Linked DNA regions of Cricetulus griseus. The protein of the gene in region 7 interacts with the protein of the main gene of each other region in a pairwise test. Links are inferred from orthologs where the notes say so. Each region holds a gene or a part of one and is shown on either strand. Other genes may lie near its edges.

Region 1 (4,112 bases), on a different chromosome or scaffold from region 7:
TGTAAGCTCTAGATGTTTCTTCAGCTGACCCTGCTACCCTTGTTGGGAGCCACCAGACCCTCTGGACCATGCTGGCCCACATCATTGAGGGTCTGCGCTCAAGGCTCTACCTACTTCTCTGCTATTTATGTTGCAGTGTCACATGGGCCTGGCATGATCATCACAATAATGGAGAACCACCATGGTGGCCTACAGAAGACTGTGGGCCTCAGCCAGATCAACAAAATAAACAGAGCAGCCCAATGACGGAAGAGAGGAGTCACAAGACCTTTACTCAAGATTCCAGCCACCAATGGCGGTGGTGGTGTCTAAGTATATAGGAGGTGGAAGGTTGAGCCATCATATCTGGCTTAATTTTGGTCTTTATGAGCTTTCTGTCCTCTGTGTTTGGCCATTGAATACACCCGTAGAGGGCAGGTTATCTGTGAGTTCAGGAACACCCGGTCTACACAGTGACAGTCTATCTCAAAAACAACAACAACAACAACAACAAGCAACAACAACAACAAAACACCATTCTATGAAGCTGGGCAGGGTGTCTCATGCCCTTAATCTCAGAACTCAGGAGGCAGAGGCTTACCTCGAATTCTAGGCTAAACGGGGCTTCAGGGTGAGAGCCTGTCTAAAGTCACCAAATCAGGCTGTGGATAAGTCATCTAAGACTACATTTTTCGTTATTCTATTTATACAAAGTTCTGAACCTGTGACACAGAAACTCCAACAGATGTAAGAAGGGACGCATTGTCACTGATGGCGGTACAGGTGCCAACCGTATGTAGGTACTATGCAGGCAGGTTTGGTTTGACCTCAACAAAAACATTAACGCTTGGTTAATCTGAAAGGCAAACGAGCCAGTCGGTGGTGGCGCACACACTCGGGAGGCAAAGTCAGTCGGATCCCTAGTTCGAGGCCAGGCTGACAGCCAAGGTTATAGAGAAACCCTATCTCGAAAAACAAAAAAAACTAAAACTAAAACAGAAAAGAAAGTCAAGCAGCCGGTGAGGAAGTAATAGGTGGCACAGAGAGGCCCCAAGTAAACACAAAACTAAAAAACACCAGCAATTAACGCCAGTGATTTGACCAGAACAGCTGGCCCCAGTCTATCTTAAACCCTGGTCCGCGGTTCGAGTTGACAGTGGCCGCGGGCCGCCTTGGCTCGGGTTCAGGCTTGGTCTGCGCCGGGGATCCATGCGCTCCGCGTTGCCATGCGGCACAGGCCACGCCGGAGCATCCCTGCAAACTCAGCGCGCGGCCCAAGGGTCCGGACAGACCGGAAGACAGGCGCGCTTCGGAGCTCACGCAGGAGGCGGAAGTAACGTCTCGCAGGCCTCCCATGAGCCCTTTCGAAGCGCGACGTAGCCGGAAGCTGCTGGCTGCTGGTGGGGGGGACTCTGAACACCCAGTCCAGCCTGGCAACTCGGCTGGCCCGACCCCCGGAGGGCAGCAGGTGAGCTCGCGGCCGGGACACCCGGGACCCGCGTACCCTCCGTTCCCTGACCTTCCGGTTCTCAGATTACCCGGTCCCTGGTCCTCTAACCCTGGGTTCTGCGGGCCTAGGCCCTGGTCCCCCAACACCCCGACTGTCCGACACCCCCAGTCTTCCGCCCCGACTCCACGGCTCCCGCCTCCTCCCGCGCCCCGTCCCTCCCATTCCCTAGCTTCCTGGCCCCGGACTCTCCAGTCCCCCGACCCGTGACGTTCCCGTTCCTCGGACCCCAAACTCCAGGGTCCCTGTGTGCGGCTGCCCATCGCCGCGGCCGTCCAGACCCCTCGGCCTCTGAGCCTGCTGCTCTCCATCCCGAGGCTTCGCGGATCTACGTGGCCTCTCGGCGCTCTCGGACGGACGCAGACCGGTTCCGCACAGCCCAGTGGGCCGGGAAAGAGCCGCTGGCGGCTCTACACTTCAAAAGAAGATTCTGTCCAGAGGCGCCTGGAAGCCAGACCCCCTAGCCTCAGCTGGTTGATCGTTCCTTTTTGGCCTTTGAAGTGAGTACCCTGCTGAAGAAGGAAAAATAAAAACCAAACCAACAGCAAAATCCCCCAAAGGACCAGGCTTCTAAACCTTTTCTCGGTTTTACCTGGCTTTATTGCTTATGTTTGTCCTCTTAAGGCAGCACAAGTCAGAAATAATTCACTGTTTCAGGCTTCATATTTCTGTGTTTGCAGCAGTGGAGCCTTACCTGTGGTCCTGGGCAAGGCGATGTTCTGAAATAACCTGTTCTTCAGAGCGAGGAACCATAGCTTAGACAGGGTTCTTCGTGTGCCTTGAGCAGTTCTGAGAAAGACAGTATTTCTCCTTGTCACCCATACTGTAGCCTTAGGGCCAAGCTATGTTCCCAAACATTCCTTTTGACCTCAGAGGTTCATCATGTCCCAGTTTAAGAACCAAATGCTAGGTAGTGTGACCTGTAGCTTAGTAAAGCCTGAAAATATCCTTATTTGCTATTTACTGGTTATGTCTACTTGAAGGAAGATTATTTTGTCATTTTTTGATTTCAGCTATTAGGAAGTCTTAGGGGTGGGTGAGATGGATTACCAGGTAAGGTACTTGCCACCAAGACTGACTACCTGAGTTTGATCCTTGGAACTCATATGGTGGAAGGAAATGACTGACTCCCACCTTCGAGGCTTCTAGGCGTGTACTGTGGACACATTATGCACACACCCAAGAAAGAAATGTTTAAAACATAAAAAATGGATTGTTGGGCTGGTGAAAGTGAGGAACTTGTTTTCATGTTACTAACAACATTTAAGATAAGTAATCAGTAGTCGGGAGGTGATGACACACGCCTTTAGTCCCAGCACTCTGGAGACGGATCTCTGAGTTCAAGACCAGCCTGATCTATAAGAGCTAGTGCCAGGACAGCCTCCAAAGCCACAGAGAAACCCTATCTCCACCCCCCACCCCCCAAAAAAGTAATTACTCACTAATACCCAAAGTTTGTCACTCAGGGCAGTTTCTTAAATCCAAGCCAAGCGAGGCATGGTGGCACACACCTTTAATCCCAGCACTTGGGAAGCAGAGGCAGGCAGATCTCTGAGTTTGAGGCCAGCCTAGCCTGGGTAGTGAGTTCCAGGATAGCTAGGACAATATAGAAAGACCTGTCTCAAAAACAAAGAAAATCCAAGCCAAATTATCTACTCCTCCCCCCCCCCCCCCACCCCATTTTCCTTCATAGCTCTGAATGTCCCTCTGCTTTATTTTACATAGTCAGAACTTCAGAGTAGTTTGGTGAGATGCTGACTTCTTGCCTATGTTTGCCTCTGTTGTGTAGTTGTAAGCCTCTGAGGGCAGGCACAGTGCTTTGGATATCAAGACTGAGTACAGAAACCTGCATTGGTCTTGATGACAACTGTTCCTGTAGCTGTTGGAGAAGAATGCAAAGGGCTTTGTAAACTCAGATCTTCCAGTGTTTCCCCCAAAGCCCTGAACTGTCTGGGGGTGTGCATGAGTAGATGCCTGGGGTGCTAGCTGTTCTGCCTGAATGAGTCATGCCAGGGCCTGCATCCTACATGCAGGAGTCTGTGTTTGTGGTTTTAGGATGTCATTCTAACACGCAGTTAACACAGTAAAAGGAAGCTAGAGTGAACTAGGATTTCGTTTCAAACAGTTACATAAAACAAATTATTTCCTGACATCTGACAGAAGGGGATCCTAGTCATGCTAAAAGATAGACACTTCAAGATTCAGGAGAATTGGTGAGTTGAGAGTCAAGATTCCCTTTACTGAACACCATATTTCTTCAGTCTTATTCAAAATGAAATACAGTATCTAGGACAGGGGCTTTTTGTTTGTTTTGTTTTTTATGTGAACCACATGAATAGAAAATGGTCAATTTTCAGTTTAACAGCAAGTAAATAGCAAGGTGAAACATCAAAAACCTGTAGCTTCTTTCAGAGAGAGGACTCACCTGTTTTGTTTGTTTGTTTGTTTTATGTGTGTTGCTCTGTGAGTTAGAGGAAACAGCATGGCTCTATTGGGGTGGATGAGCTCTGGAAAGACCACAGCTGACTGGTGGGCTAGCAAGGGGAGTGGCTAGAGGCCCCGTCCTGCCTCCAGTCTCCTCAGTGCTGCTGTGTGCATTAACACTGGGATTAGTTTATGTCCAGCC
Region 2 (2,383 bases), on a different chromosome or scaffold from region 7:
TCTTCAGTGTGGCTAAATCTGTAAAATGTCATTCCTTGAATGTCATATTTAACTGTCAATACCACCAAACTCTTAGATACTAACAGAACTGAGTGAGTTGTTCTCCTTCCTAGGCTGACAATCGGAAGAGGCATAAGGAAGAGAACAACGATCACCTCGATGACTTTAAAGCGGCAGAACATGCTTGGCAGAAGCACAAGCAGCTCAATGAATCCATCATTGTCGCACTTTTTCAGGGTCAGTTCAAATCCACAGTGCAGTGCCTCACCTGTCACAAAAAGTCTCGGACATTTGAGGCTTTCATGTATTTATCATTGCCGCTAGCATCCACAAGTAAATGCACATTACAGGTAAGTTTAAGATGAAGAGATAATGGGTTGGTAAAAATGTTATTTGTGTGTGCATAGCAAAATGCCTCATCCGCATAGGAAAATAGGTGAGCTACATCCTAGCCCTTGGGGATTTTTATTGTCTTACTATTTTATGTGTATGGGTATTTTGCTAGTACCTTTCTGGGCACCAGCTGCATGCAGTGCCCACAGAGGTGTGAACTGCCATGTGGGTGCTGGGAATTAAACCCAGGTCTTCAGCAAGAGCTGAGCCATTTCTCTAGCCTGTAGCCCTTGACTTTTTGAACTGGATCTTGCCATAAAGCACAGACCGGCCTTGAACTTGAACTGTTCCATCTGATTCTACAGTGCTGGGAGTACAGGCAATGTCGTCAGGTGCAGGCTTCTGACCCAGGCAGCATTGAATGCAGAGCCAGTGTATAATGGAGAAGCACTTCACCACTCAGCCAAACCCCCATCCACAAAAGTTTGCATTTTTAATTAGTTTTGAAAGCTAACTTAGGAAGTTGTAATTGACATTACCATAGATCTACTGTTTCGATGTACTTTACTTGGGGATCAGACATACTGGTTTCCACAGGACAGCAGTGTAAGTAATAGAATAGCTTGTGTTCATACCTCCAGTCTTCACTTCCTCCAAGTCCACCATACCCAGGATAGAGGTCCTTGTGTGTGCTATGCTGACCCTCTGCAACACTGGTGACGTCCCTCCATATCCAGACACTTACTCCACCTTCTGAAGGTGTCCGTGCGTCTGCAGCACTCTTACTGAAGAGGGCTTCCTGGAACTCCATGAGGAAGTAAATCACTGCTCACAGTGTGTTTTTTTGCCACTAGGACTGCCTTAGATTATTTTCCAAAGAAGAAAAGCTCACAGATAACAACAGATTTTACTGCAGCCATTGCAGAGCTCGGCGGGACTCTCTAAAGAAGATAGAGATCTGGAAATTGCCGCCTGTGCTGTTGGTACACCTGAAACGGTAAAGCCTCTGCTTGCGTACTAGCAGTTGATGGAGGAACTGTAATGTCTATGTAATCTGTGTTCTGGGTTGTTTTTTAAGGAAACCTAATGAAGATTCTCCAGCAATAATTAGTGGCAGATATGACAAGCAGAATAATAGTACTTGTTATTTTATGTTATTTCCTGTGATTCTGTTTCTTAAAAAAAAAATTAATGGAACTAAATTATTGCATTTCAGACAACAAAATTTTAAGTCACCTCAAGTGAAATGTTACACAGTGTAATTCCAAACAGATTACCAGATAAAAATTAACATTCAGGTGCTGGAGAGATGGTTCAGTTGTTAAGAGCACTAGCTGCTGTTGCAGGGGACCTAGGTTCAGTTCCCAGCACCTACATGGCTGCTCACAACTGCTGTAACTTCAGTTCCAGGTGATCTAGTGCCCGCTTCTGGTATCTGAGTACCAGGCACATGTATTGGGCATAGATATATATGCAGGAAAAGCATCCATACATATAAAATGATAAAATATTTTTTAGTTAATATCCAGATTATAAACTATAGCAAGATTAATTTAATCATGTATAACATGATGGCACATACCTGTAATTTCAGCCTTGTGTTAAAAAAATTATGCTTTTAAAAAAAAAGTGAGTACAAAATATGGCTGCATTAGCTCATGTATGGAGAACAGAAGTCAGCTTTCTCCTGCCTTTTTGGTTGTTGCTTGTTTTTTGTTGTTTTCCTCAGACAGGGTTTCTCTGTGTTGCCCTGGCTGTCCTCGAACTCCCAGAGATCCATCTGCCTCCAGAGGGCACTAAGTACAAGCATTCTTGTCTTGAGTCTAATCTAGTGGAAGGACAGGGTCCCACACAGCAGAGCAGAGCATTGAGAGCCATAGCCCCACTGCTCTTGTTTCTCTATAAAGAGACAGGCTCTTGCCTATATACCTCAGGTGAGCCATGACCCAGCCTTCCTTCCCTTAATGCCATTATAGGTGCACACCACCATACCCAGCCGGAGTCAGCTTCACAAGAAAACCCTAAAGTTTCAGTTTAGTTGTGAAGTATA
Region 3 (4,193 bases), on a different chromosome or scaffold from region 7:
CAGAGACCTATGGCCCCCATGCACGTGCACATGCATGCATGCGCGCACACACTCCCAAGCACACAAAATTCTAAAACAAACAAAAGCTAAAATAATAAGAGTTCAGGGCCAGCCCAGGCTGCAACAATGGGCACATGAGCAGCCGTCTCAAAAAAAAAAAAAAAAAATTCTTATTTGTATTTGGTGTTTTGGTGGGGCAGATGACAAAAAATGGTATCAGGGTCTTACTCATCCTAGGCCAGTTACATACTAAGCCACCAAGGTGAGACACACATCTCTTCAAGCATTTTCCTCAGAAATTCTACACAATCTGTAGGCATTTCCACCCTCCTCCTGAGATGAGGTAGGGAATCAGCTATGCATTTTTCTAAAGAACACACTAGCAGTTACATTGTACATCTGCTTGGGGTTCTCCCCTGGCTCTGGCTCGTTGTGACCATGGTTAGTGTTCCATTTGCATCCAATGTAAGCAGCAAATCTGCAGATGTGGACCATATTCCCCTTAGAGCAGGGGGTCTCAACCCCTTTGGGGTCAAATGATCCTTTCACAGGTTCTTGTATCTGATAGCCTGCATATCAGATATTTACATTATGATTCATAACAGCAAAATTACAGTTATGAAGTAGCAATGAAGTAATTTTATGGTTGAATCACCACAACATGAGGAGCTGTGTTAAAGGGTCACAGCATAGGAAGATTGAGACCTACTGCCTTAGAGGAACCCGGAGCGGCCTACTAACACCATGAGCTAAGTGACCATTCACATAGAACTCACTCAATTGTTAGAGTCCAACAGACAAGGTTTCCCAGTCTCCTACAGCCCGTGTGCAGGCCACTACAGCAACATTTTAAACCACCTACCAAATGCTACTGAGGAAATGCTGTTGGGACCCTATTTTTTTTTCTTCTCTATTTGTCCTCTCCTTGCCTGTTTTCAAACAGAGGCTCACTATGTAGCCCAGGCTAGCCTCAAACATGTGATCCTCCTGCCTCAGCCTGCAGGGAATACAGATGTGTAGAAAACACCCAGCTGATCACAGGTACAGAGATTGAAAAACTTAGCCAGGTGGTGGTGGTGAACGCCCTTTAATCCCAGCACTCAGGAGGCAGAGGCAGGTGGATCTCTGTGGGCTCAAGGCCAGCCTGGTCTACAAAGTGAGTTCCAGGACAGCCAGGGCAACAGAGAACACCCCCCACCCCCCGGGGGTGGGGGGTGGTGAACTGCCCAAAGTCACAGTCATGGTGACCCTGATGTTTAACAGAAAGCAGGGGGTGGCGAGGGTATGGAGGTATGAGGGTGTACTTTACACAAGAGAAGGCAAAAGCACTATTTTGTGTAACAAGAGTGTGCCTCTCAGGTTAACTGAGAAAGGTTAGCTGGAGTGGGGGAGAGTTAGGACCTGAATTCAGGTGTGGGCTGTTAATTAAACTCCAAAAGCTGGCTGTAACAGCCAAGTCAAAGCAAACTTAGACCTCCATGTTTCCTTTTCACCATGTGAGTGGGACCTGAAGACCCTGAAGTTGGATTTGATTATGGCCCCTCTTGTCCACAGCCAATTGTTACTGAGCCTAGAGGTCACCCATAAAACTTTCGTGGTCTAATTGCTCTGTATCACAAACCCTCTGTAACTTACATATTCACCATCACTCCCACTGCGGCGGCAGGAGCAGAATGCAGGTGTAGGCAAGTGCTCTACCCTTTGCTATCCCAGCCCTTGACAATTTCCTTTGAAACACGGTCACGATCTGCACTGCACAGGCTATCCTCAACTGTAGTTCCTCCAGCTTTTCTCTCCGCCTCCAGAATGGCTGACATAACCACAGCCAGCTATGTCCACACCTTTTAAAGAGGAACTGACATACAAAGAGCCATACCGAGGCTCACTTACTGACGTGGAATCCCCACATCCCGTCTCACAACAGAGAAGCCCCAAACCCGCATCATCCACGAAGGCGGCCAATTAATGCTCTTGCCTTATACAGGGTGACGTTAGAGGCGTGGGGGAAGTGCAGCGTGGCCACAAACAGGTGCACATAGTCACTGTTGAGTCCACCCTCGTAAATATTCTCTGCGATGATCTTGCTGGCGAAGTTTTTGCCCGTGCCTGTCCACCCGTGCAGAGAGAGGGTAAGGGGCTTCTTGGGCTTCGGGTTACTTAGGAAACCAGACACGGCGTTTAAGATGACTTTCTTTGCAAGATGCTGTCCAAAGAGCTTGTTATCCAGATCCTTCTGCAGTGCTGGGAATGGAAAGATCACTCTGGTCAGGAGAGAAGCAAGTAGGTAAAATGAAGCCCCGTTTCCAGGCTGTCAGAGCCCCGAGCCTAGTGTGGAGAGCGCTGAAGGACCCTGGTGCGGCGAACCCTGCCCTTCCTAAGGCCTGGGCTTGGGGGTGTTCCCAAAGCCAAGCGGAAGGAAGAGACGCGGTGAGGCCGCCCCGGTGAGCTCCGCGCAGGGCTGACACCCTACCCCGGGCCCGGCAACTCATCTCTTAGGCCTCGGACCAAAATCCGGCCTGGCCGCGGCACCATCCCCCTGCCGCCTGGCGCCCGTCCCTGGTGCCCGCCTACCCTCCCGGCTGAGGCTCCGCTTCTGGCCGCAGCACTCGGCAAAGAGGCAGTAGAGGCGCGGGTAGGAGATGTAGCCGGTGAGTACGCCGGCCAGGGCCAGGCCCAGGCTGATGGGTTCCACCGCACGAACCGCGCACGGCGCCAGCAGCAGCAGGGCCAGTGAGGCCCGGCCTAGCTTCATGCCCGGACCCGCGCCGCTTGCGCGTCCCAGCGCCCACCTTACCCAGCGCACCGCCCAACGCGCGTTTCCGGTTCCTGCCTGCGGGACAGCCCTCTTTGTCTCGGGCAGGCCGTCCAACCAATGTAGCGGCTGCCATCTTTGTTAAGGGTAAAGCTCTTCCTGCCTCTGAACCTTGAGGTTATAGGAGTCAGGTGTATTTGCTTCCCCCACCCTCATCAAATAACAATATTTTAGGGCAGTTTTTAAACAATGACGCAGGCATCTAATGAGGTGCACATAAACTCCTGTAGGCATACACAATGTATAAATGAATACATAAGAACTGTGAGAATATAATGAGTTCCCATATGACAACCCCATCCCCACCTCTGGTTACCTATTATTAAAATCTGACATTTGGTCAAGGTGCTATGGGTGGTGTGCGCCTTTAATCCCAGCACTCTAGAAGCTGAGGCAGGTGAATCTGTAACGAATTTGAGGCCACCCAAAGATACATAGTAGACATTTGAAGGCTGGGTATTTTGGCACTCTGAGTTGGAGTCACCCTGGCCTACACAGCAAATTCTAGGGGCAGCCAGGGTTACACCGTGAGAGCCTCCTTTCTAAAGAAATAAAAATTTGACATCTGTATATTATACTTGTTAAAATCCATGAACCACTATATTTTTGTTTGTTTTTGTTTTTCGAGACAGGGTTTCTCTGTGTAGCTTTGGAGCCTATTCTGGCACTCGCTCTGGAGACCAGGCTGGCATCGAACTCACAGAGATCCACCTGTCTCTGCCTCCCGAGTGCTGGGATTAAAGGCGTGTGCCACCAACGCCCGGCTTTTTTTTTTTTTTTTTCCCCCGACAGGGTTTCTCTGTATAACAGCCCAGGCTGTCCTGGACCTCTCTCTGTAGGCCAGGCTGGCCTCGAAATCAGAGATCCGCCTGCCTCTGCCACCTAATGCTGGGTTGAGGGCGTGCACCACCACCGCCCCAACCACTATATTAAAGCCCACACAGTTCATCCAGTTTCTTACTTACTTAGGGAACCCATCTAGCTCCCCCACAGTGCTGATTCCCCAACTCCTCTTGGATTCTTCCGACACTTGCCTTGTTTTTTAAATGACTTTGAGAGTTTTGAGGAACACTAGACACTTGGGGGACACTGGGATGAACCCCAGGGCCAAACACTATCATGGAGCTTTACCTCAGACCTTCTACTTCTTGTTTTATTTCATTTTAAAAATTCTTTGAGGTGGGAGAAACAGTGGATGACAGGATTTAGACTCAGGTCTGTACAAGAATGACTCTTAACTTGTTTGCCATTTCTCCAGCCCCAAACTTTGTTTTGAGGTAAAATCTTTATAACTATTCCAGACTATCTTTCAACTTCCTATATAGTGCAGGCTGGTTTTGAATTTGCAATCATCCTGCCTCAACCTCCTAGGTTCTGGAAT
Region 4 (2,175 bases), on a different chromosome or scaffold from region 7:
TCCTCGCCTCACACTACAAGATACCATAGCATCGTTTCCATCTGATCTTTGGCTTCTGGACTTGGGTCTGGCAGCCCTGGATTATGAAGGAGAGGATGGATTTTCTAGCAGTTGGTGATAAGTCATGTTGTGTGGCCCCCTCTCACACTACTGCCTTGTTCCAGTACTGTGTCTCTGAGGAAGGGGAGGGAAGCCTGCTCCTGGGGAGTGTTCTGGGTGAGGCTGCTTGGGGTGGGGGAGCAGGTGCTCTTGGGATATGACCTGAAAATTCTGAGGTCACTGCCTCTTCTCCCACCAGCATCGGATTCTGTTGGTTGTATCTACTTATTGATTTCAGAAGGTTCAGGCCTCTTAAGTCCCAAGGGGCCTCAGGGGCCAGTGAGACCCTCAGCTGCCAGCTCAGCCTCCTGAGAAGTCAGAAAATCAAATGAGAGGGAAAGGCAGAGACCACGCCTCACCCCTGTGCACAGGGTGCAGTAGAAACTGCATCTCACAGTACCTAGTGGAAACAGCTTTATGTGTTATGAGTGCCTCACAAACCAAACCAAACGAAACACAACAGGAAAAAATAAAATCTTGAAAACTTAACATTCAAATGTGATGTGTATTTACCTAAGGAATATTCTAGTGTGTTTATTGTCCTTCGCAAAAGGTTCTGCCTGTAGGACCACTGGGTGCATGGGACTCCCTGGGACTTAGGGGGTAAGTACACAGAGGTGTCTCCCTTTCTGATGGAGGGTCAGGCATGTTCTCATGTGGCTGATCTAGAAATGCCGCTTCTATAAATATTCCATAAATATAAACCCGGCCTGCACTGCTGTTAGCGTTGGAATAGCATCATGGGATTGTTTCTAAAAACATGCCCTTTATAGGCACTTTTTCTATTAAGTTCACAGTGAAGACAAATGCATGGGCTAAACTTCCAGGCTGCAATATGAATACTTCAAACCAAATTCCAGACTTTGCAATAATTTCAGGAAAAAAAGAGTAATTTCTTTCTAAAGTTGCAGGTAATTAAGCGAGTGGAAGTAGGTTCCACTTTGATGCCCTCACTGTAATTTAAACAGTCTGCATTCAAATTATGTTTTCCAGTTTCTCACTTGGTTGATAAGTTGATTTGTATGCCGCCGAGCTGTCATCTCATCAGCACCATTTATAAAGATAGGATTCTTGGGGATAAACAAATATTTTTGACTATTGCCGGGGAGGGCCCCCTGGGAATAGGTGATTGCTGAGTAAGAACACTGTCCCTCACATCTCGAGTGTGCTCTTGAGATTCCACGGCAGTCTAATTTACACAGAGCGTGGCAACAGCCTTGGAGAGCTGTGGCTTCGCCTAAGGCTTCTACATGGATTTAGTGAAGGTGAAGTCGGGAAATTAAACCTGGAAAAGCCCTCCCTAGGGCTGGATTCCTGCTGGGATGAGAAATCCAAAACAAGGGGCTACACTCTCTTCCCAGTGTTGGATAGTTGCATATGCCAGAGGCCCGAAAGTGCCTCTCACTGGGTGCCTAGTGGGTGCTGCTGGCTTCCGTGGGTGCCTGTGGAAAGGATCTAGTGGCCGAGTCTGTAATTTGCAGTCTGTGTTTGTGCGTGTGCATTGTATGTGCTTATATGCCCAGAGACGACGAAATGGCTAAGAAGGCAGGAGTCCACGTGTTTCCCGTAAGGAGGTGTGGTCAGGGGCAGTGCCTGAGTGTCTGTCTACACGTCGAACCAGTGATCACCCATGCAGGCTCGGTTCCACTCACAGCCGCAGTTCCAGCACCACTCCAGTCTGCACTGAGGCTGTGGACACTTCATGTGCATACATCCTCCTGTGGGTACAAAGGATACAGGTGCTGTGGGCTTGTGGCAAACACGGGGAGCCCTTGCCCCCATGCCATCCCAGAAATGACTCTTGTAGCCAAAAATCCCCAGCAAGGAGGGCAGAGAGACTCTGAGCCAGGGGGAATAATCAGAAACAACAGGAGGCAACATCCCCCTCCCCCAAGTGAGAAAAGATAAGATAATGACATGGACAAAGGGCTCTTTGCCTTCAGAACAAATCCCATTCACAGTCTGAGTTTCTCATCTTTCCCTCATGTGCTCAGACATAAATGGTGTGTTTCACAGCCTGCTGATTCTTCATTAAAAAAAAAAAATAGAGCCATATTAAACTCATGATTTTCAAAT
Region 5 (3,553 bases), on a different chromosome or scaffold from region 7:
AAGAAAAAAAAAAAAAAAAAGAAAAAAAGAAACCCTGTCTTGAAAAACAAAACAAAGAGAGAAAGAAAAAAAGAAAGAAAAACCATGAGAAAAAGGCAATTCTATTTTAAAGTAACAATTCTTGTGACAACAAATATCTGTACTTCCTCACAAGAGAGGATGGGATCCTGCAAGATTCTGAGGAGTTTGAGGAAGATCCTACCCCCATGGTCTACCAGACCTTACCAAAGAGATAACACCTGCAAAACTGTGGGGCTGACTACTTCCAGAGAAATGCGATCTAATTTTACGTTAATCTTCCAGTTTTCATGGAAATTGTAAGAGTTGCATTTATTTCCCACAATGTTGTAAGCCCATGGAGAGGCCTAACTCAGACCTTCACCTGAACCAAACACCCCAAACAGTTCTCAGAAGTAGAATGTTAGCAACTGAGAGAGATTTGATCAAGCAAATATAGCTTAGCCTATAACTGGTACAGAAGGGCTGCTGCCTCAGACACATGCTGGAAAGGACACATAGCCTATTAAGCACATTTTTAATAAGTCTGGGCCATGCTGTGGCAGGGGCTGAGCCAGAGCATACGAACACAGCAGAAGAAAGAAGGTTCTGGGACAGCACTCTTAGGGATCATGGTAGTTCCCAGACACAGGGTAGGTAGAGCATTTCAGAACCACCCTGGGACCCAAGTCAACCACAGGTCTCACTAGACCACAGGCCTCTCCCTCAAGATATAGGAAGGGTCAGACAGGAGACTGGTGGCCTGGCCCCAGTTGAGGGTTGAGGGGCATGCTCAGAATTCCTCATGCACATTGCGGGCATAGTCCATCAGCTTGCTGCCAGTGAAGAACTCGCTATACTTGAGAATCTCCTCAGGCTCCAGGTGGTGATTCTGGTTCTCGTCGGCAATGGCGATCATCTGTTTGGCTTCATTGAGGGCATTGTATTCATTCATGGGGTCCATGTAGTTCTGTGAGATCCAGACATAAGTCAGTGGCCTATACCTGACACCCTACCAACAGAGAGGCCCTGTGCCCACAGCCCCCACACCTACATACTAGCCCAGAGGTCACTTAGGATGTAGCTCTGTTATAGAACAATTAATTGTTTAGCATGTTTAGAGGTCCTGGGTTTCATCCTGAGCACCAAAACCAATTCCCAGATGCCTTCTACAAACTAGGGAGTTGCTTTCTAAAGGCCAATAGCCCATAGTCAGCAGGTTTCACAAGACTTTCCCATCTCTTCAGTCTGTGCACTAACGCCAATGCCCATTGTCTCAGGTCATCACGTAGGCAAGCCCCCTTTACTTTGGGACCTTACTGTAGGATTAGCCCACCGCCTCCAAACCCAGGGTCATTCCTGGAACACACCAACATTCATAAGCACCCCTACTCACCTCCAGCTCCTCCATGGTCACAATCCCATCATGGTTGGAATCAATCAGTTCCTCAAACTCTTTTCTCCTGTCTTTCACCCAATTGTCATCAATGTCTTGGCCTTGCTGGTTCTCAACAGTGCCCACTGGCAAGGAGATGAACTCAGGCAGAGACAGCTGCTTATCACCATCCTGGTCTACAGATAAAGGGTTGGAAGGAGGTAGTGTTCACCTTGGGCTTTACCTAAAACTCACTGAGTACCACTGAAGAACTTCCTTAGAAATCAAAACAGGACAAGCCCACCTATCCTGGGGCTTGGTACCCCTTGCAGCAGTGTAGTGTTCCCAGCCCATTGGTCACCCTCAGGCCTAGAACAGTGTCATAGTGGGAACACGCCTTACCCAAGTCCCGAACAATCTCCTTGACCATGAACTTGAGCATGCCCCGGCTGTGCTCAGGGTGAAGGAATGAAAGGAACTCCTCCTCAGTCAGCAGCAGGTCTGCAGGTGGATTGTCGGCCTGATACCAGCGACCTTTGAGGTTCTCAAGGACTTCCTGTGCTGCGAGAGGCACATTTGTGAATACCTAGGCATGCTGGACACTAATGCAAGCACCCACAATGTTTTACTTGAACTCAAGAGGGCTGTCATTTGCCAGGCTCAAGACTAAGGGTGCTAGCCCACCTAGAAGAGCCTGGTCCTTGGGAGGGGACAAACAGAACCCCTGAATACTGCCCAACCTGCCTTCCCAGCACACTCCAAGCTGTTTATTCCTCATCAGAAATGGAAATTTCATCAAGACTGAGGCTGACTCACCCTTATTGACGTCTATAGGAACAAAGGTGTCACTTTTGTTCCTTTCTCTGTTTTTCATGTGCATTATCATTCGGAGAGCATAGAATGCAGAAAACCCAATTTCTAGAAATGACTGAGGTAGTGAGCAAAACTTCCCATGGACTCTAGAAATGATTGCCTATGCATCCTCTCACGTCTCCCATGTTCCCAGGGCAGAAATGAATCCTTCCCCATCTGGGACTCAACACAGTCAGTGACTATGTCCTATTTGCCTAGGCTTCCAAGTCGCTCAGCTCCAGTAACCCTAAGTGTCCTTGCCTGCCTTCACTGACTTACCCAAATTGTCCTGAGTCTGACTCTGGGGCTACATCCTGACTGTAGCAGCCCCACCATGACCCATTAAGTACCTGATCACCACAGACCGGCCAAGTGGTCTTCATGCATAGTATTTCCTGTGTTAATCTAACCTTACTAACAGAACTCTTTCAAAAGAATAATGGAGAATGGGACACACTGGCAGAACCCTGTAGTCCCAGCTGCTTGGGAGGCTGAAGTAGGCAGCTCATTTGAATGATTGTCACTCAAACAGCAAAAATAAAAATAAAAACAAAAAAGTGGCATTATACAAAGGAGATTATAAAGCAAAGCCACCCCTCCAGAATGCTACCAAGTGCTCAGATCACCTCAGGCAATCAGAGGCCCTTCGGTGGGCTGAGGTCAGGATGTGAATACACATGTTTTAATGATAAATGTCCCTCATAGTCTAGGGCACTTGAACACATGACCCTTGCAATGCTATTTTGGGAGGTTTAGGAGGTGAGGCCTTGTTGGAGGAATTATATTACTTGGGGCAGGCTTCAAATGTTTAGTCTCACTCACTTCAAACTCATGCTTGAAGTTTAAGATACAAGCTTAACTTCCTGCTCCTGCCACCATTCTGAACACTCTGGAACCACAAGCCCAAATAAAGTCCTTTCTGTGTGTTGCCTCAGTCATGATACTTTATCATAGCAGAAAAGACTAATAGAGAAGTTGGCAACAGACAATAGGTGCTATGAAGAACCCCGACCTGTTGGTTTGGGGAAGAATGTGGGAGATCTAGGAATTTCAGACTCAAAAGGTGTGTGAATGCTATAAGCAGAGCTTAAAGGGCCATTATAGTAGGACCCTGGAAGACAGTAAGATAGGAGCAATACTGTCTGTGGAAGCCCAGATCAAAAGGTTTCAGAGGGAAACAATATTAGCAACTGGGCTAGAGGTCATTTTGATGATATTTTGGCAAATAATCTGGCTGCCTCTTGCCACTGTCCTGAGAATTTGCCCAAAGCTAAATTTAAAAGTAATGGAATAGAAGTTAAAGTGGTTGTCCAGTGATTAAGAGCACTG
Region 6 (3,963 bases), on a different chromosome or scaffold from region 7:
CCTAACACCCAACTGTTCCCACCCTGTCTGGATGTCCTTTCTCCTTACTACTGTCTTTTTGATCCATGTGGGGGTTTTTTCTCGTTGTTTTTTGGTGTTTTTGGTCCAGCTCTGAGCTAATGAATGTACAGCTTTTGTGAGGTCCCAACTTCCCTGAGGGTGTGTAGACAGGCAGGGAAAGTATTCCCAACTTCACACCAAGTCCCTTTCCAGAATGTCGTGGAAGCTGCTGTGCTGCTCCAGTCAACACGTTTCATCTCCAACTCCTTCGTCCAAATGAATGCTAGGAAATTACTAAAGCCACGTGGTTGAGAAGCAGCCAGCTGAAACGGGAAGAAGCTGGCGCATTTGACACCCAAACCTGTTTTTCTTCTATTGTGCCCTACCTGAGGCAATGTTTGCCAGCTGCTCCACGCTGGCTGGCCCTTGTAAAAGACACCTGCTCCCGAGCTCAGACCTTCTAGCTACTAATGTTATCCAAGGTTTAGATGGCGCCCCAGGCACTAAACAGGATTCTGATCTTTCTAGACTTAGAATGTTCTGATCCCGACAGAACCTGTGGCCTAGAGGCGGGCACTTTCTCTCCATTGACCGAACAGACAATTTATAATTACAGGATTACCAAACCGTTATGGCACAGTGCAGACCTGTAATCCCAGAACGCAAGAAGCCGAGGCAGGAAGATCTCCAGTTCAAGTCCAACCTGGGAACTAGACTAGCCTAGCTTCACCGGAGAGAGAAAATGGAACAGCAGTTTCCAGCACAGACTTTCGTTCAGTGTTTGGCTTGAGCTGAGTACAAACGTTTCTCCACTGTTTCTCTCCAGGATCCCGTGAGGATGGAACCCGCTGGTTCTGACACCCTGTAGGAAGGATGTGAGACTGTCGCCGTGGGAGGAGCCGGCAGCGAGATGCTGGCGAGTCCGGTAGGTAAGCGCGGTGCTCCCTGAGCAAAAACTGGCGTTTCTGCTCCGCACTGTGAAGGACCGAAGAAGAAGAAGGGGGGGCGGGCGGGGGGCGAGCGAGCTTCCGCGCATGCGCCTGCCGCGCGGGCCTAGAGGTTAGAACACAGAAGGGCTCACACTGTGGGCCGCTGGAGCGTCAGAGCGAGGGAGAACTGCGCGTGCGCCCGCTTTGTGGGCGGAGCCCGGGCGCGGCAGGGGCGTGGCCTTCGTCACGCGCAGCCCCTCCCCTCGGTCTCCGGGAGGCGGCAACCGCTTCTCCTTGTCTTTTCCCGGTTGTCGGGGACTGCCTCACCTTGTTTTTCGGTGACCATGGGGGACCCCAGCAAGCAGGACATCCTAGCCATCTTCAAGCGCCTGCGCTCGGTGCCTACTAACAAGGTAACAGTCGCTGGCGAGCTCGGAATCCCGCGGCTTGCTGGACCCCGGTGTGGCCACTGCCGTGGGAGGAGCCGCCCGGCCTGTGACACGTCGCACTGTGGGCCTGGCAGCCGCTGCTCCCCAACCTTCGCCAGCGAGGGGCGGGAGAAGGGGCGCACACCAGGGGCTTGGCAATGGAGTACGGGGTCCAGTGAGAGCTGGCCAGAGGCCCTAGCCGACAGGGAGGACTTGGGACATGGGCATCTGGAGAATATACAGAAGCGAAGGGCAAAGCATCTGGGGAGCACAGAGAGGGCTGGGGCATGGACATCTGGGATGTCCACCACCTGAGGGCAGAGTGCCTGGGGGTAGTTGGAGATGTCTAAGGCAGGAGACCAGTGCGTCTAGGGGCACAGAGAAGGCTGGGGTATGAGCCTCTAGGAGTGTCCACTATCAGAGGTCAGTACCTGGGGGCTCAGAGAGAGCCGCTTCTTGGCATCTGGGGGCACCTAGGTCTGGAGACCAGAGCACTTTGATTCAGAAACACAGACAAGGTGAGGTGGAGGGAGCAGTGTGTCTGTCTATCCGTTAGATAGTTGGGCTCTGAGAAACCTGGGGAGACATATACTCTGCCTCCCGTGACCTAAGGGTGAATACTACAGCCACCTAGACCCATGGGGAAGCGTGTCTGAGGGTCAGAACACTAAATGTTCTGGGCTCTGGGATAGGACTTCTCCCCACCATGAACCTTGTCTTGAGTGTTGTTCAGGGCTGGGGACCTGTTGGATACTGGTCCCAGTTGTCCTTTGTTAGCATCCCGTTTCCCAGCTTCTAAGCTGCCAGCTTTCTGTGTGCCTATGGAAGTCGTCAAAGTTCACCTTCATCCCTTTGGAGGTTGAGGGTCACCTCTCCAATTTTTTTTTCTTGTAAGTGCCCCTACCCCACCCCCACTATAGTGTATAACTTTTAGTGTGTGGCTGGCAGTGTTGTTATGATACACAGGGTTAAGGTGACCACTTCCCTAGGATGACGGAGTAGGGTGGAACCTGCAGAGTACAAAGGGCTGTCGTGTCACTGTGGACTCTCCCCACCCCTCTTGGAGTTCAGTCTGGTCTCCACCTCTACCTCTAAGGAAACATCTGTTAATGAGCACAGGCAGGAGTCCTGAATTGACGGCATAGAAAGTTCCAGCGTTTTTTACAAAATTCGGGCATTTTAGGTCTTGGCATAGAAAGTTCCAGCATTTTTACAAAATTCAGGCATTTTAGGTCTTGATGGTGGGAGTCCTAATTTTTATAGCCTTCTAGTGAAGGAAATGGTCAGTTAGGGGTGATAATGTCTGGTGGGTGTAAGAAAGAGGAGACAGCTTCCAAGCACTGTCCAGTTTGTTGTTACTTTGCTATTTTCTTGATTTTTTTCAAATTTAGATTGATCTGTGACTAGTAAGGACTTGTTATCACACACAAGATTGGATCTGCAGCTGGCAGGGTGGAAAAATACATATGTTACTGCTTTCTCTTCTAATCACACCAATATGTAGTCTCTTTAAATTCATCAAAAAGATGCAGCTAAATAAGAAAAATAAAAAGCAAGAAATAACAACAAAAGGGAAGAGGCTCCTTTTAAAGAGCCAGTGTTAGGATACCAAGAGATACTTTTAAGAAACCCACGTGGGCTTGCTTGCATATTAAAATTTAGTTGGCCGTGGTAGCACATGCTGTAACCCCATCACTTGGGAGGTGAAGCCAGGAAGATCAGGAGTTCAGGGGCAGCCTCTGCTACATAGCAAGTTCTGGCCTGCCTGGGCTACATGAGACTATATCTCAAAAAAGTTAAAATTATTGCCCATTGGCATAATGGTACACGCTTACAATCCCAGCTCTTGGGAGGCTAAGGTAGTTGGATTTCCAATAGTTAAAGAACAGCTTAAGCTACAGCTCTGAAGCACATTCCTTGTCCTCTTCGAACTGTATTTTGTTGTCTGAGAATGTGGTTATGAACTGGATCTAACTGAAAAGATGGCTGTGAAGATTAGATTAGGTGATCCAAAAAAAGCCTGGTGTGACATTAGTCCACATGAATACAGCCATTGTTTCCATTTCATTCTAAAGACTATACCTGTGGATATAGTATGTTCTGTAATATGACTTCTTTTTTTGTTTTTGTTTTTGTTTTGTTTTTTTTGTTTGTTTGTTTTTTGAGACAGGGTTTCTCTGTGTAATAGTCCTGGCTGTCCTGGAATGTGCTTTGTAGACCAGGCTGGCCTCAAGCTCACAGAGATCCACTTGCTTCTGCTTCCCGAGTACTAGGATTAAAGGCGTGCGCTACCACCATCCAGCTTGCAATATGATTTCTTTTTTTATTTTATTTATTTTTATTTCATGTGCATTGGTCTTTTTGCCTGCATGTATGTCTTTGTGAGGGTATTGGATCCCCTGGAACTGGAGTTATAGACAGTTGTGAACTGTCCTGTGGGTGCTGGGGATTGAACCTGGATCCTCTGGAAGAACAGCCAGTGAATGTTCTTAACTGCTGAGCCATCTCCCCAGCCACTTAATATGATTTCTAAAGCAAAATGCCAAAGTAGCTTCTGGTCATGTCTCATGGCATTTGGCTCTCTTTTATTTGGCTTGAAGCCATGA
Region 7 (4,055 bases):
CTGAGACAAATTGTAGCCCAGATTATTTCTAATCCTTCAGGCTAATTATTGATGATAGTTTTATATATTTGGTGAAAAATAAGAGGAAATCATGTTGAGTGGAATAGCTTATTTAATAAAAATCAAGTTTCCTAAATATGAAAGTGCACTTGGTTACACATTTCCACAAAAGCTCTGCAAAGGAATTGTACTTTTATGAACTACATTATTTGTGGAAAAGGGAAGGAAATTCAAAGACATTAACTTCCTCAAGATCCTAAAGGTAGAAGTGATGTAGCTTGTATTAAATTTATGTTTGTTTGATAAGTTATAGCCCAATTCCCTTTCACTTTTTTCTAGCCTATAAGTTAACCCCAGCTTCTTGTTTTGATAAATAAAAACTGAAACAGCACCACACTGGTTATTGCCCATGGTTGCTTTCACACTTTAACAGTAGACCTGATTATCTGAGACAGATTGGCCGAAATAAGTTTGAAAATTAACAAAAGTTGACCAAAATCTTAACTTAATTCTTACCTTTAGACCTCACTTTTCATAGTAAATTCTATGCATGTGTTTGGCTTTTTTTTGTTTGTTTGATTGGTTGGTTTTGTTGAGACAGGGTTTCTCTGTATTGCTTTGGAGCCTGTCCTTGAACTCTGTAGACCAGGCTGGCCTCAAACTCACAAAGATCCACCTGTCTCTGCCTCCCCAGTGCTGGAATTAAAGGCATGTGCCACCACCACCCACGTTCAGCTTTTAATTAGACTCCAGAACATAACCAGCAATTGATTAATTATATATGTATTAAATATAACAACATTGATAATTTTAGTAACATTAGACTTATTGAAACATTATGCTTTTTACATAATTGCCTCGCAGTGAACAACAAAATTAATCTTTGAAAAATCTAATCACTTTATTTGCCTAAACTCACAATTAACAATAAAACATGAAAGTGTTCTACTTGATAAGATCTGTTTATTAACTAGAAAGAATAATAAATTAATATTCAGTAACTTCTACATTTGCTTAAAATTAATGCTCTAGCTGGAAGGTGGTGACACATGCCTTTAATCCCAGTACCAGGAGGCAGAGGCAGGTGGATTTCAGTGAGTTCAAGGCCAGACTAGTCTAAATAGTGAGTTTCAGGACAGCCAGAACCATAAGAGAAACCCTGTCTCAAAAAAAAAAAAAAAATTAAAAAAGAAAATTAGGTGACTAGTTGTCTAAAAAGAAGAAAGATAACATTCACTAAGTAACTAATTAAAAAATGTAGTCATGGGTCTATAGTTGCAGGATGTGGGAGACTTTGAGGCCCTGAAAAATCTACAAATAACTGATTTTATATTCTGGATTCTATCAAAAACATTGACCTCACTGTTCCCAAAAGAAGCACTTGACTCACACCTTTCTCTTTTAATATTCATTTCAAGACTTTCTGAAAGGTTGTTTTGAGGTGGAAAGGGAGTCAACATAAAAACAATCTATGAGGAATGAGCAAAGGTGATATGCTAGAAACTTTGAAAGTTCATGAAAGGTTTTTTCCCACTAATCAGTTAGAGCTGGAGCGCCAGCACAGCTTCCCACTTTTGGTAAGTCTCAGTCTCAGTGTGTGGCCTCTCTGTCACCTCTGCCACTTGTCTGTTCCATTTCCATCTTAAGGTTGACCCTTTGCCTTCTACTGAGATAGAGGCCCCCTAAGAAGGTAGGGAAGCTCAGAGAAGCACAGAGGGGGCAGGTGAGTCATGCATCCTTGCTCCCTTGTGCACCTGGGTCTCTGCTGGAGATGAATGTGCATGCATACATATATGTCTTTTCCCTCCATCAAAGTACTGGAAGTGCAACCAGTTTAACACAGGGAAAGCCAGTAAACAGTGTTGACCTCTGTCTCAAGGTTTACACTTAGGCACAAAAGGCACCGAGTATCAACCTCTTGCTCTTTCCTGTGTGCATCATCCAGGTGATTACACAAACACATCTGAGGTTCCTTGAGCTTCATCTCAAAAGGGAGATCCACTAAGAACAACTTGCCTTTTTTTTTTTTTCTATTGGGGGACCAAAGTAGGTGTATTTTCACAGATATTAAATACAATCATACTACAGTTTTATTTTTAAAATTGCAATTAACAAGTATTATCTATGGTGATGATGAAAGAAGCCAAAGTCCCGTGAGGGCCTGGGACTCCTCTTGTTTTGTTTTGTTTTGTTTTGTTTTGTTTTGTGATGGGATTTCATGTAGACTGGACTGACCCTGAACTCACTATGTAGCTAAAGATGATCTTCAACTCCTGACCCTTGGGCCTCCATGTCCCAAATGTTGGGATTCCACATGCCACCATCCTGCTGCTGTAAATGGGTCTGATTCATAAGCATATTCTTAGTTATTTTTCATGGGTTGCCAGTTTTAAAAATCCCAATGTGCTCACACACACACACACACACACACACACACACACACACACACACACACACAGAAACATGGAAAACCCTAAGTAAGCAATAAAATTAAGTATTCTAAGGAAAGAAAACATTGTTCCCATTTGTTTCTGAGAGCTAACAAGCAGATTCACAATTCTCTCACCTCCACATACCTGTCACTCTCCTGAGAAGCAGCTATGTGCATGAATCAGACACCACATGCCAGCACTGAGTGATTAGCCACTCCAACTCATCAGTCACGGCACCACTACCTACCTACATAGAGGACTCCCTCTTTTGTCTTTCCTGCTGCTTCTGCCACACCCTGCTTGGTTTTTTCAGCAGCAGCCACAACTCCTTCCTTGGCCTTGGAAAGTCCTTTCATGAACACATCCATGGCGAAAGATGTCTTTTCCTCCACTCTAGAGAATACACAATACACTTTGAATTAAAAATTTGAGTAAAAGAAAACAAGATTAAAGCAGCTAGAATGGGAAGAATTTTTTTAAAAATCAAGGAAGAAATCACTGAAAAATCAGTAGAGACCCCCCCTCCCCAATCTCTGTGTAAATGAACACTCGTTTTTTTTGTTTGTTTGTTTGTTTGTTTGTTTGCTTGCTTGCTTGCTTGTTTTGAGGACTGGGCATGGTGTTGCTTGTCAGCTTTTTCACTCAAATCTAGGAAGAGTCAAGCCACTTAAAGATGGGATGGATCCAGATGGATCACCTGGCCATTCTTACAGCAGCTGGAAAATGGAGTTACATGGCAAGATGGGTGGACTCTACCCCATCAAGTTCCCAGGGCCTAAAGGCGACATTCTAAGTAAAAAGCTTGTCTAGAAAACCAATGGAAGGGGGTACTGAAGTCGGGGGCAAGGGTAAAAGGACTCAGAAAGGGGTTAGTAAGTGTTTAGTCTTAGGAGAGGGGAAGGAAGGGAACTGCTTACTTCAAGATGAAGGGAACAGCACGCCAACTGTCATCAGCCCAGCTGTTCAAATCTAACAAGACCTTCCACCCACTGCTAGCTCTCCAGTCTGTTATCTGCCCGGAGCAGGCGCTGTCCACACACTTGAGCCGGCTCACTTCAGCTCTACCCAACCTGGGGGCCCTGTCCTCAACTGGAATCTGCTTGAAAACCCTGCACCCCCGTGCTCATTAACCCCTTATCACCTGTTGCCAAGTGCCTTAGGCACTTTTATTAATCACTGGCCAAATGTAGCCTCCTTACACTCCAGATAAGAGATAGAACGTGCCCGGGGTGGGGGATGAAAGTTGGATGCTCAGGTTTCTCCCAACGCCCAGCGCTCAGCTTCCAGGACCCAGCACCCAACACGAAACACCCTGGCGTTTCCGCTCGAAAAAGCAGATGCCACGAACAGCCTGGTTTCCCCTCGGGCTTTGGGAGAATGGAAGAGCACGTCTCTAGCGCGAGGAAAGCCAAGTAATGTACTTTCAATGCACTGGCCGTGTCCCCACCGCTGAGGTAGCCTCAGCTGGAGATCTCCCAGGCATCGGGACTCCTCTTAGCCAGGGTTCTCCGGGATCCCCAGAGCTGCTGCTATCTACAGGTACTTACCGGCGCCCTTGGCTTCGCAGAATTCAGATTCCTCCTCTCTGCCCCTGATCTTATTTCAGTGGCAGTGGAAAGGAAG

The links.
Region 1: the proteins of Snca (region 7) and Arfgap1 interact in binary tests that used the Homo sapiens proteins (3 or more experiments, as listed by UniProt). The link is inferred for Cricetulus griseus from reciprocal best matches to the Homo sapiens genes SNCA and ARFGAP1.
Region 2: the proteins of Snca (region 7) and Usp8 interact in a two-hybrid assay, tested with the Homo sapiens proteins (2 studies listed by BioGRID, with this or other methods). The link is inferred for Cricetulus griseus from reciprocal best matches to the Homo sapiens genes SNCA and USP8.
Region 3: the proteins of Snca (region 7) and Tor1a interact in a two-hybrid assay, tested with the Homo sapiens proteins (2 studies listed by BioGRID, with this or other methods). The link is inferred for Cricetulus griseus from reciprocal best matches to the Homo sapiens genes SNCA and TOR1A.
Region 4: the proteins of Snca (region 7) and Prkn interact in binary tests that used the Homo sapiens proteins (3 or more experiments, as listed by UniProt). The link is inferred for Cricetulus griseus from reciprocal best matches to the Homo sapiens genes SNCA and PRKN.
Region 5: the proteins of Snca (region 7) and Sdf4 interact in a two-hybrid assay, tested with the Homo sapiens proteins (2 studies listed by BioGRID and IntAct). The link is inferred for Cricetulus griseus from reciprocal best matches to the Homo sapiens genes SNCA and SDF4.
Region 6: the proteins of Snca (region 7) and Arfgap3 interact in binary tests that used the Homo sapiens proteins (3 or more experiments, as listed by UniProt). The link is inferred for Cricetulus griseus from reciprocal best matches to the Homo sapiens genes SNCA and ARFGAP3.

What each region holds. Positions count from the first base shown.
Region 1 is NC_048599.1:936,678-940,789, reverse strand, and holds the start of Arfgap1 (ADP-ribosylation factor GTPase-activating protein 1), read left to right. Parts: upstream 1-1,312; 5' UTR 1,313-1,333; coding exon 1,334-1,447; intron 1,448-1,726; coding exon 1,727-1,986; intron 1,987-4,112. UniProt on the Homo sapiens protein: GTPase-activating protein (GAP) for the ADP ribosylation factor 1 (ARF1). Involved in membrane trafficking and /or vesicle transport.
Region 2 is NC_048599.1:51,763,963-51,766,345, reverse strand, and holds part of Usp8 (ubiquitin carboxyl-terminal hydrolase 8), read left to right. Parts: intron 1-113; coding exon 114-350; intron 351-1,187; coding exon 1,188-1,330; intron 1,331-2,383. UniProt on the Homo sapiens protein: Hydrolase that can remove conjugated ubiquitin from proteins and therefore plays an important regulatory role at the level of protein turnover by preventing degradation. Converts both 'Lys-48' an 'Lys-63'-linked ubiquitin chains.
Region 3 is NC_048599.1:142,681,273-142,685,465, forward strand, and holds the start of Tor1a (torsin-1A), read right to left. Parts: upstream 2,801-4,193; 5' UTR 2,753-2,800; coding exon 2,572-2,752; intron 2,242-2,571; coding exon 1,976-2,241; intron 1-1,975. UniProt on the Homo sapiens protein: Protein with chaperone functions important for the control of protein folding, processing, stability and localization as well as for the reduction of misfolded protein aggregates.
Region 4 is NC_048595.1:288,897,095-288,899,269, forward strand, and holds the end of Prkn (E3 ubiquitin-protein ligase parkin), read right to left. Parts: intron 1,818-2,175; coding exon 1,705-1,817; 3' UTR 501-1,704; downstream 1-500. UniProt on the Homo sapiens protein: Functions within a multiprotein E3 ubiquitin ligase complex, catalyzing the covalent attachment of ubiquitin moieties onto substrate proteins. Substrates include SYT11 and VDAC1.
Region 5 is NC_048595.1:303,830-307,382, forward strand, and holds the end of Sdf4 (45 kDa calcium-binding protein), read right to left. Parts: intron 1,934-3,553; coding exon 1,775-1,933; intron 1,570-1,774; coding exon 1,394-1,569; intron 968-1,393; coding exon 791-967; 3' UTR 501-790; downstream 1-500. UniProt on the Homo sapiens protein: May regulate calcium-dependent activities in the endoplasmic reticulum lumen or post-ER compartment. Isoform 5 may be involved in the exocytosis of zymogens by pancreatic acini.
Region 6 is NC_048595.1:380,240,332-380,244,294, reverse strand, and holds the start of Arfgap3 (ADP-ribosylation factor GTPase-activating protein 3), read left to right. Parts: upstream 1-1,163; 5' UTR 1,164-1,273; coding exon 1,274-1,342; intron 1,343-3,963.
Region 7 is NC_048601.1:81,915,809-81,919,863, reverse strand, and holds the start of Snca (alpha-synuclein), read right to left. Parts: upstream 2,801-4,055; coding exon 2,680-2,800; intron 1-2,679. UniProt on the Homo sapiens protein: Neuronal protein that plays several roles in synaptic activity such as regulation of synaptic vesicle trafficking and subsequent neurotransmitter release.